Linked DNA regions of Caenorhabditis elegans. The protein of the gene in region 2 interacts with the protein of the main gene of each other region in a pairwise test. Each region holds a gene or a part of one and is shown on either strand. Other genes may lie near its edges. The genes, in order: slfl-5 and F46G10.1.

Region 1 (5,469 bases), on a different chromosome or scaffold from region 2:
CCATAAGCAATTCCCAGGCTTCGATAAGCAAATATCTGAAACATTCTCATTTGCAAATAGGTTTATTCAAAGAAAAATGTTGCGAAATTAAATTAATATATTGATTCCGTTGGAAACTCTGGAAAAAGGACTAAGTAAAGTGAAATTCCTGAGTATTTTCAATTAATTCCTGTGTAAAGTGGGCCTTCTGCGTATTTTTAATTAATTTTTGCGTAAAGTTAAACTCTTGCATGAAGTAAAAAAACAGAAAAAAAACAATTTCGAAAACTGACAAAAAAACAGTTTCCGATTCAAAAATAGAGCGCAAAAACAAAATACGATGCTCCGAAGTTCCGCAAGCGCGTGTTGTTTAACCGAAAGAAGATTTCGATTTTTTCTTTTCCCTCTGCTTTTGATTTTGAGCTTCATATTAATTTCTTCATTCTGAAAATCACGAAAACTCGGTAAAAGCTTCCTGTTTATTTTAATTTTTGGCAATCATGAAATTTTTTTTCAAATTCTCACATGGTTAAAAAACATCAGTCAAACGATTGATAAGATATTTTCCGAACAACTGATAAACTCGTATTCTAGAAATCGTACAAACGGTTTTATTGTTGTTTATTTTGAACTGAACGTTTTTGTCTAAGGAAATGCATCATATTGCGTCACATCGAATGTTGTTCTTAAGAGTAAGGAAATATTTCGCAATTTTCTGCAACATTCTTTAACGGCTGTGTTCGGTCATTTTACTTGTATTTAGGGCTACTAACAGCCCCACTTGTATTATTATTATGATTTTACCTTTCGTTCCAGAAGGCTGAAATTTTAGAAATTCTGAGTAAGACTAACTTTTATGTTTTATTCCAATATATTTACTGTTTAAAAGTATCCTCCATTGTCACCTGGTATTTAGAATGATTATTAACCTGTCGAATGCACCTTCAAAGATCTCAATGCCCACCTACGTGTGAAAACACTTACTTCCTTCTCATTTCCGTCCGATCGTAATCAAAAAGAAACAGGTTTTCCTCTCTCTCATCATCTGTCTTCCAAGCTTCAACTTCAACCTTCCTTCAGTATCTTCTTATTCTTCCAGCTGTCCACTGCCAATCAGTAGGTTCATATTCCCGTAAAAAATCGCCATTTTGTCTGGTTTCTTTTGATTTGAACGCTTCTTTTCATCTCATTCCTCTCTTATTCTCTCATGTATTTGCTCAATCATTCAGCATGCTCACTGTGAAGCTTGTGTGTGCATAATTTCTTTTCATAGAATCGAGCGACGTGGAAATCGATATTTCTCACTGTTCCTTTTTTCAATATTGACAAATTTCCAGTTCAAAAGTCAACTTAACTTGTTGTTATGTTCCTCTCCGATTTTTTCTGTCTTATTTTCTTCTTTCGAAAACAACAGCGGCTCCCCTTTCCCACTTTTTTCTCTTCATACGTCAATTCTCTAAGTTCTCATATTTCTCTACAATCTCTACATGTTGACCGAACCAGTTAACAACTGACTTTTCAAAACCTCTCGAAACACGACATTTTTTTCTCAAGTACCCGAACCTCTCTCCCTATGATTAAAATTTGATGTTCCAGAATCGGAGAATCGAATGATAGATCGAATACGGCGTGAGCAGTAGTTATCCAACTGATTATCTCATTTCATAAAATAATAAACAACTCAATCTCACTATGGATTTTATGATTTCACATTTCTGCGATGAGCAGAATCATCAGCCACTTTACAAAACTAGGTGAGTACGATAAATATTGTGTGGTTAACATTTGAAAATTTTATTTCTAAAATCAAAATTCATTTATTTAAATTCCTTATAAAAAATAAATCAATTCTAAAACATTGATATAAAATCAATTCAATTTATTTAATGTCGCCAAATCATTTAAGGTAGTATATTATATTATTTTTTACAGACGACAATCAATATCGGACTCTAAAAATGGACCAACACTTCTCAGCTCTTCACTGCCAACTAACGATGAATGTTCCGACTCCGACACCGAAAACCGATTGCCACCTGAAACGGAGCTTGGAAATATTGAGTACAAAGCAAAATTAGTAAATCCAACGACATCTCGTATACAACATCTGATCACTCAAATGAAATGGCGTCTTCGTGAGGGTCAAGGAGAGGCTATTTATGAAATTGGCGTTGAGGATGGTGGAATAATGTCTGGATTAACAGACGAGGAACTGAATGATTCACTTCGGACCTTGAGAACGATGGCCCAAGCTCTTGGGGCGAGTATGGTTATTTTGACCGAGAAAGACGTTACTGTTAAGGGATCAAATTCACGGAGAACTGTAGTCGAGGTAATTATTATTGAGTCATATTTTATCTAAATGAAATTATTTTTCTAGGTACTTGTCCGAAAGGTTCCTGAAAGCCAGCAATTCATCGAAGTTCGTCTTGCTGTCGTTGGAGGATGCGATGTCGGAAAATCAACACTGTGTGGAGTGTTAACACAGGGTTGTCTGGACGACGGAAACGGAAAAGCAAGAATTGGAATATTCAGATTTCCACACGAAGTGCGAACAGGAAAAACCAGTTCTGTCTGTAATGATGTCATTGGCTTCGATAATCGTGGAAAGGTTAGAAATTTTTCGAAACATTCAGAATGGGTTAAAATATGCTTGAAAATATTTAAAAAAAAAAACAGTAAACTGATTAAATTGTAGATAATTTCTTTATTGAAAATTTTAAAGTTGGATCCTATTTATTAGGGTTTTTGATTTAAATAATTAAAAAAATGGACGGTAATACCGAATATAATTGTTTCAAAAAATCATAAAATTTTTATAATTTTTTCAATTTTGCAAAAATAAAAAAATAAAAATCTGTTTTTGAATTCCCGCCCAATTATCAAAAATAAAAATTTAAAAAGTTAGAAAGATTTTATAACTTTTAAAATCAATTAAAATCGATTATTACGGTCAATTTTTTTTTCATTCAAAACAAAATTTCAAAATGATTCTACTCCACTTTTGAATACAAAAACAATGAATTTAGAAAAATTTTATTTGAAAAACTTAAATTCGATTTTTTTAAATTTATTTATAAATATCTAATTTTTACTTTTTTCAGCTAGTCAATTATGCACAAAATAGTCTCGAAGAAATGGTGGAGAAGTCTTCAAAACTTGTAACACTTATCGATCTGGCTGGAGACGCAAAATATCAGAAAACGACAATTCATGGATTAACCGGATACACTCCTCATTTCGCTTGCCTTGTTGTAGCCGCCGATCGAGGAATCACGTGGGCCACTCGTGAACATCTTGGATTAATTGCCGCTTTAAACATTCCAATGTTTGTACTGATCACAAAAATGGATCTAGTCGATCGACAAGGACTTAAGAAAATCATCAAAGATGTTTCCAATCTTGTTGCGAAAGCAGGGATGACAGCTCGCGAGAAAAGAGTGAAAACTAAAAGAGACGCAGTGAAGGCGGCACAAGAACTCTGCGTTGGTAGTATCGTACCAGTTCTTGCTGTTAGTTCAGTGAGCGGAGAAGGTTTTCGTTGTCTCAGAACACTTCTCAATTGCCTTTCTACAGCTGGAACTGCAGAGTCACGTATTCAACTAGTTGGACTCCCAGCCTTTTTCACAATCGAGGAACTATATAATGTGCCTCATGTTGGACAAGTAGTTGGAGGAATGCTATCTGAAGGACAATTGCATGAAGGAGCAGATGTTCTTGTTGGACCCATGAAAGATGGAACTTTTGAAAAAATTACTGTCGGGTCGATTCGAAGAAGCCGGCAAGCCGTAGGATGTGTTAATCCTGGTGAAGCTGCATCGATATCCTTGAATCTTCCAGACGGTGTCAGTCTAAGAAGGGTAAGTATTTTTTTCCACAGAAAAATCATTCGAAATGTGAAACATATTGATTATTTTCATTAAAGGGAATGGTTCTTGCTGAAATCGATCATCAACCACCAGTTTGTTACGAATTCACTGCCAATCTTTTACTGCTGTGTCACTCGACGAAATACATATGCGAAGGATTTCAAGCCACAGGTGAGTACTTTTTCTCATTTCAACTTTCAGTTTTGATTTTTTCTGAAATAATTTATGAACTTTTTCAGTGTTTATCGGAAGTGTCTGTACAACTGCCATTATTACTCACATCGACGATGCAGACTGCATCCGTCCAGGAAAATGGGCTGTAGTTAAAATGTGTTTCGCCTATCAACCAGAAGTCATTCGTGAAGGATCACCAATTATTCTTCGTCAAGGAAAAACCAAAGGAATGGGAGAAGTATTAAAAGTATTTCCGTGCACCCAATGATAATTGTTAGTCTGAAAATCTCTAAATTTTACTGCCACCCCCCCCCCCCCCTCCCAATTATCTTGTATATTTTGTGTAGACCTCTTTTTTGTAGTCTTTTTTCACTCTCTCTCTCTTTGCCCTCTCCTCCTAGGTACCCGTGTGTTTACATTTTGCTCCGGGTTGATAATAGTTGTACATAGTTGAAATTGTACAATTCTGAATATTTGTTCACTAAGTGAACCTTTTTGTCTCCAAAAATACTCTAGATCCTCTTTTTTCTCTTCTTCCAGGTGCCCCCACTCATTCTATTCATTTTTTGTAGCATTTTTTGCGCTACTGCTTTTTTAGTTACAATTTTAAAAATGAACTGAATTCACTCTTCCTAGATGTCCCATTTCAATTATTCTAGAAACAAATTTATTAGGAAGTACACATTCAATGGATACAATCAGTGGTTTCTCCACTGAACTGATTAGCTAAGTTCAAAGTTCCAATATCATAATTATCAGTCGAGCTACTTCCAGATGCAACTGCATAATCAGGAATATTGATTGTCACTTTCTTTGAACATGGTCCATTGTAATTACAACTATGATATATATTCACTTTTGGATCCAATGTTAAAATATCTGTATATGTTCCAGAAACAGAAAATGTTCCATCAGATGAGGTGGTCGTCGAACCTAATTTCGAGTCATATACTGAAAAAATCAATTGTTTCAAAACAGTTCTTCCAAATAATAACTTACTCGTTCCATCGTCATACATCTTCACGAGAACTCCACTGGCTGGCTGTCCTTCACAAACCAATTTTCCCGTTACAGTAACACTTTGAGTGCTTCCGATAACATTGAGTAAAGCATCGGAGCAATGAATCAAAAAGAAAACAGAAAGAGCAATATATGTAATTGAAAACATTGTGAACACAAAATTCAGAGTGATTCTTGTAAGACATTTATATACTGTCTACAAGAAGTAAATAGAAACACAGTTCGAGTAAATATAGTCGTTACAAATTGTTACTTTGCTCACTGACTCAATAATTGTCACTTAAAATGAAATCATAGATCAACGACAAAGGATATAATTGGTTCTTTTTAGATAATTCTATTGTAAATATCAACTTTGTTCAACGACTAAAAGTCCATTTTAAATTTGGTGAAACGCCAATAGTAAAAACTTTTAAAATCACTATAT
Region 2 (4,055 bases):
CTGCACAAAACAAGTAAATAGATCTATTTTAACTGCAGGCAAAAAATAAACAGTACACGAAAACATCTGTATTAGTTTTCAGTTGCAACTGCAGCGACGCAGGCTTCAAGACACAAAAAATTGCTCAGAAACAATGCTAATTAAGAGCGCAAGACTAATTTATGCGAGGAAACTAACTTTCGAGAGAGATTCAGGACAACCAATAAAGTCCCCCCCCCCAATCAAAAATATTAAACGAAATATTTTTCTCCACATTGCTGATTTAGAGCAATTTTCCGAGTTGTATCTTTTATCAGTTTTGACTTGGTTTTCAGAAATCTGTAAAAGATTGAATATAATTTAGTTTTTGAAAATCGATATTTTCTATAGTTTTTTATGGCTAATGTAATTGAAGTTTAGTAAGACGTTTTGATTTTCGATAACTCGATTCTACCGATTTTTCTTAATTTAAAAGTGTTCAGAATTTTAAGCACATCTTTTTGGTTTCAAATGTTCTCACAAGGATCACTAAAAATAATTTGAATATGATTACTCCATCCCCCAAGTCAATTTTCAACGAACACCAAATTCAACAAGTTCGTTCAGAAGTACACACAATTTTGCACTTTATTTCCGTTATTTCATGGTCATTAACAAAGTTATTCAGAAAGAGGAAGTAAACTTCAAATGCGTCCTCCATTATTGTAGTACGTGTTGTTCGCAATTTGGTTCACCGAATTGCGAATATCCACAATATCATTGGTGTTGGCACGTTGTTCCTTTTCAATGTCAACAAGTGTCTCTTGAATTAGGTACTTGAATACCTCCATGCCAAAGAAGTCTGCTTCTCGCTGGAAAAAATAAGGGAAGTTTATATGTATTGTCAATTCATACATCATTGGAGTTATTTTCAAATTAAAAGTTGTGATTGTTTTCAATAAATTGATTTGGTGTTTCAAGATTCATTTAATATACACACTTATGTATGCTACACATTTTTTGCATAAATCTCATAGTTTCTATTTTTTATGATTGTTGACATAGTTGACATTAGTGTTAATCTTGTATTTGTTGGTTTTTTTTCCATATTGCACTTTGAATTAATTTTTGAATGATATTTCCTGGAAAAAACAATTTTTCAAAACATATTGTTTTTCCTTAACAATATCATAAAATAGTAACTGCACATGACTAAATTGTATAACTTAATTTTCTCTACCCATGCCAATTGATTAGGTATACCAATATTCGTGACACACAATCGCCAACACATAAATACCCATAAAACACAAGGCACACCTCGGTGTACCTCTAGTAAACAAGCAACTGTGCTTATCAATGACAACGCATGGTTAAGAAGGCGATGAAATTAAACATGAAACACCTACTTTGAGCTGTGCTAACACGTCTTTATCTTTTGGCAGGACAGTGTTCTTTCCGTCTCTCATAAATTGCAGAACGAATGCAAACAGACGCCCGTCCCGGTTCACGAAGATTGCTCCTGACTCATCACGCTGAAATTTGTATTGAAATTTTTTTAGAGAGAGCTATGAGGATTAAAAGCATTCTCTTGAAATTCAGAAAAATAATTCTGAAAAAAGCACAAGTAAAAATTGTTGGAAGTTTTTTCAGTAGGATTTAGGCTTTCAGCTAGCTTCTAGATAACCTAATAGTCTCCAATTAAAAAATTCTGCATCCTCATTAGTATGTATATTTATTTCTAGATTGTCACCCACAATAGTTCTCTGTTGAAGAAGCACAATTTTTCCACTGGTGCGGTCGATGCGGATAAAGTTGAGGAAATATGACGACTTTGACTGTGCCAAAGTGTCGTAAAGTGTAGTAAATCTGAAGCCTTCGTTAAATTCTCAGATCTCATGTTCTCAATTCCCAACTAACCTTGTGCCGCCTGCGTTAATATGCACTATGTCTCGAGCATGATGAGATGTGACTTCAGCCTAAACATAGTTTTATAATACTCCAATTTTCTCATTAGCTGTACAATTTATTAGAAAATTGAATCAATTTCAAGACCCACCTTTTTATAATCAGCATACTCAGCGGTATGCATATCCACACCATTTGAATGAAGAGAAGCTCTAGCTAGCATTATTAGTCAAACCTGCGTGTCCTGTGAAAAACGCGAGCAAGTGAAAATCGAGGTAATAAAACTCAATGGTCGGTTGTGTTATCAGTGACGTTAGGAAAATTTTTGAATTCACCTTGTGTCAATAAGAAGATACCATCCCATTTTCAGATTGGCAACACGTGTGATTCAACACTTTTGAAACATATAAAGGTACCTATTTTCGAAAAAAAAATCTTATTCGTGTTTAGAAAAAGTATATTGTTATCACTCAATAATAACCATTTATAATTGATCTAAAATTTAAATGAAAAAGTGAATAATATTAAAAGCGTGGCAAAATTTGAATAGTTTTTTTTGAAGCTCGCTCTGAAAAATGCCAAAAAAAACAGGCAAAGAAATATGATCAAGAGTGCCAATTTTACGAATTTGGACAAACCGTAAATATGTCAATGTAATTTTGAAACACGTGTTATTCAGGAAACCGCCAACCAATCACCGAAGTATGTCGTCTCCTTTACGTAACGCTGATTGGTCAGTGCCGTCGCATGATTTGCGTATAATTTCAAAATTTAATTGAAGTATTCATTCACCACTTGACTACTCTCAAAATAACACAACCTTTCATTTTTTGAATAGTAATTTTTGCACTTGTATGCTTATTCTAACTGGCGCCATTCTGTTTTTAAAGTTTTGTTTTTTTCACAGTTTTTGAACAAGCGGTAGGAAAAAAATCGACAGTTGCCGGTTTTCGTGCCAACAGCTCAGTCTGCTATGTATGTTCACTGAAAAAAAATTTATCCTGCAATTTCAGAACTACGAAAGTTGTTCAGGAGTAGCTTGCAGCTCAATGACGATAACAAGATGTTCCAGATCATAAAGTCAAATGAAAGTCAATTATAATTGATATTTCACTGGCAATTATTTTGTTTTTTTTTTGTTATTTTCTTCACAATATGTGCGGCTGCAGCACTATCAAATTATGTTTTATACCGCCGTAAAACTTTTCTGGCCGAAAATCTAATCTCGAAAATAATTTTTTATTTGCAAAAATGTCACTTGTTTAATCTCGCACGAGAAGTGCGAATAACTAATTTCACGTTTTCATGAGTTATTTTCTTGATTAAAACAAGGCTGCTAAATTGAAACAACAAAAATAAAAGTTACCGTACACCAAACGAAACAATATGAGATTTTGATTGGCATTTTCATGTTTTTCAAAAATAATATTTGATTTCGAAATTATGTTTAAAGGAGGACTAACGGTTCGGACGATTTTGAACGTATAAGCCAAAAATGGGCCCAAATGAACGAATTTCGTAATGAAACTGCTCAAACAATTTTCATAAATTTTTTATGGCGGTTCAAAATTTCGAAAAAATGACGCTGATTTTAGCTAAAATCTCTAATTTTGCCCATTTTTCCGTGTCACATCTGTCCGAAATTGCTTTTTTGGAATTATCACCCTTTATTGCATATATTGGTAGTTTATCTCATTTAATTTCCTTGATTAAGGTACATTTAAAGCCGATAGCTAACCAATTTTGATGATTTTTGCAATAAAGGATGATAAAAGCAATTTCGGACAGATGTGACACGGAAAAATGGGCAAAATTCGAGATTTTGGCTAAAATCAGTGTCATTTTTTCGAAATTTTGAACCGCCATAAAACATTTTTGAAAATTTTTTGAGCAATTTCATTACAAAATTCGTTCATTTGGGCCCATTTTGGGTCGATACGTTCAAAATCGTCCGAACCGTTAGTCCTCCTTTAACTGCCTGAACAATTTGTTAAAATTTTAGAGTGACATTTATATTTAAAAAAACAGAAGAAACTATAATTTTTGTTTATTATGAAAAACACTTTTTAGGATATGAGTGCGTTTTTTTTTTCTGAAAGAAGCCATTTCAAAAACCGAAACTAAAACGATAATTAACTTACTTCAGTGTCCATTCGCCTTTTACTTTTTGTTGCTGGAGTCCATTTAAA

What was found.
Region 1: the proteins of F46G10.1 (region 2) and slfl-5 interact in a two-hybrid assay, tested with the Caenorhabditis elegans proteins (2 studies listed by BioGRID).

The regions. Positions count from the first base shown.
Region 1 is NC_003283.11:12,241,151-12,246,619, reverse strand, and holds slfl-5 (Tr-type G domain-containing protein), read left to right. Parts: upstream 1-1,575; 5' UTR 1,576-1,589; coding exon of another isoform or gene 1,590-1,619; 5' UTR 1,620-1,671; coding exon 1,672-1,733; intron 1,734-1,911; coding exon 1,912-2,311; intron 2,312-2,359; coding exon 2,360-2,590; intron 2,591-3,083; coding exon 3,084-3,839; intron 3,840-3,904; coding exon 3,905-4,019; intron 4,020-4,087; coding exon 4,088-4,290; 3' UTR 4,291-4,649; downstream 4,650-5,469. Other genes in the region: rad-50 (Zinc-hook domain-containing protein), read right to left, coding at 1-35, 964-974; ttr-22 (Transthyretin-like family protein), read right to left, coding at 4,708-4,973, 5,022-5,190.
Region 2 is NC_003284.9:13,309,638-13,313,692, forward strand, and holds F46G10.1 (BTB domain-containing protein), read right to left. Parts: upstream 2,119-4,055; 5' UTR 2,090-2,118; coding exon 2,018-2,089; intron 1,938-2,017; coding exon 1,879-1,937; intron 1,835-1,878; exon of another isoform or gene 1,828-1,834; coding exon 1,716-1,827; intron 1,494-1,715; coding exon 1,368-1,493; intron 831-1,367; coding exon 663-830; 3' UTR 590-662; downstream 1-589.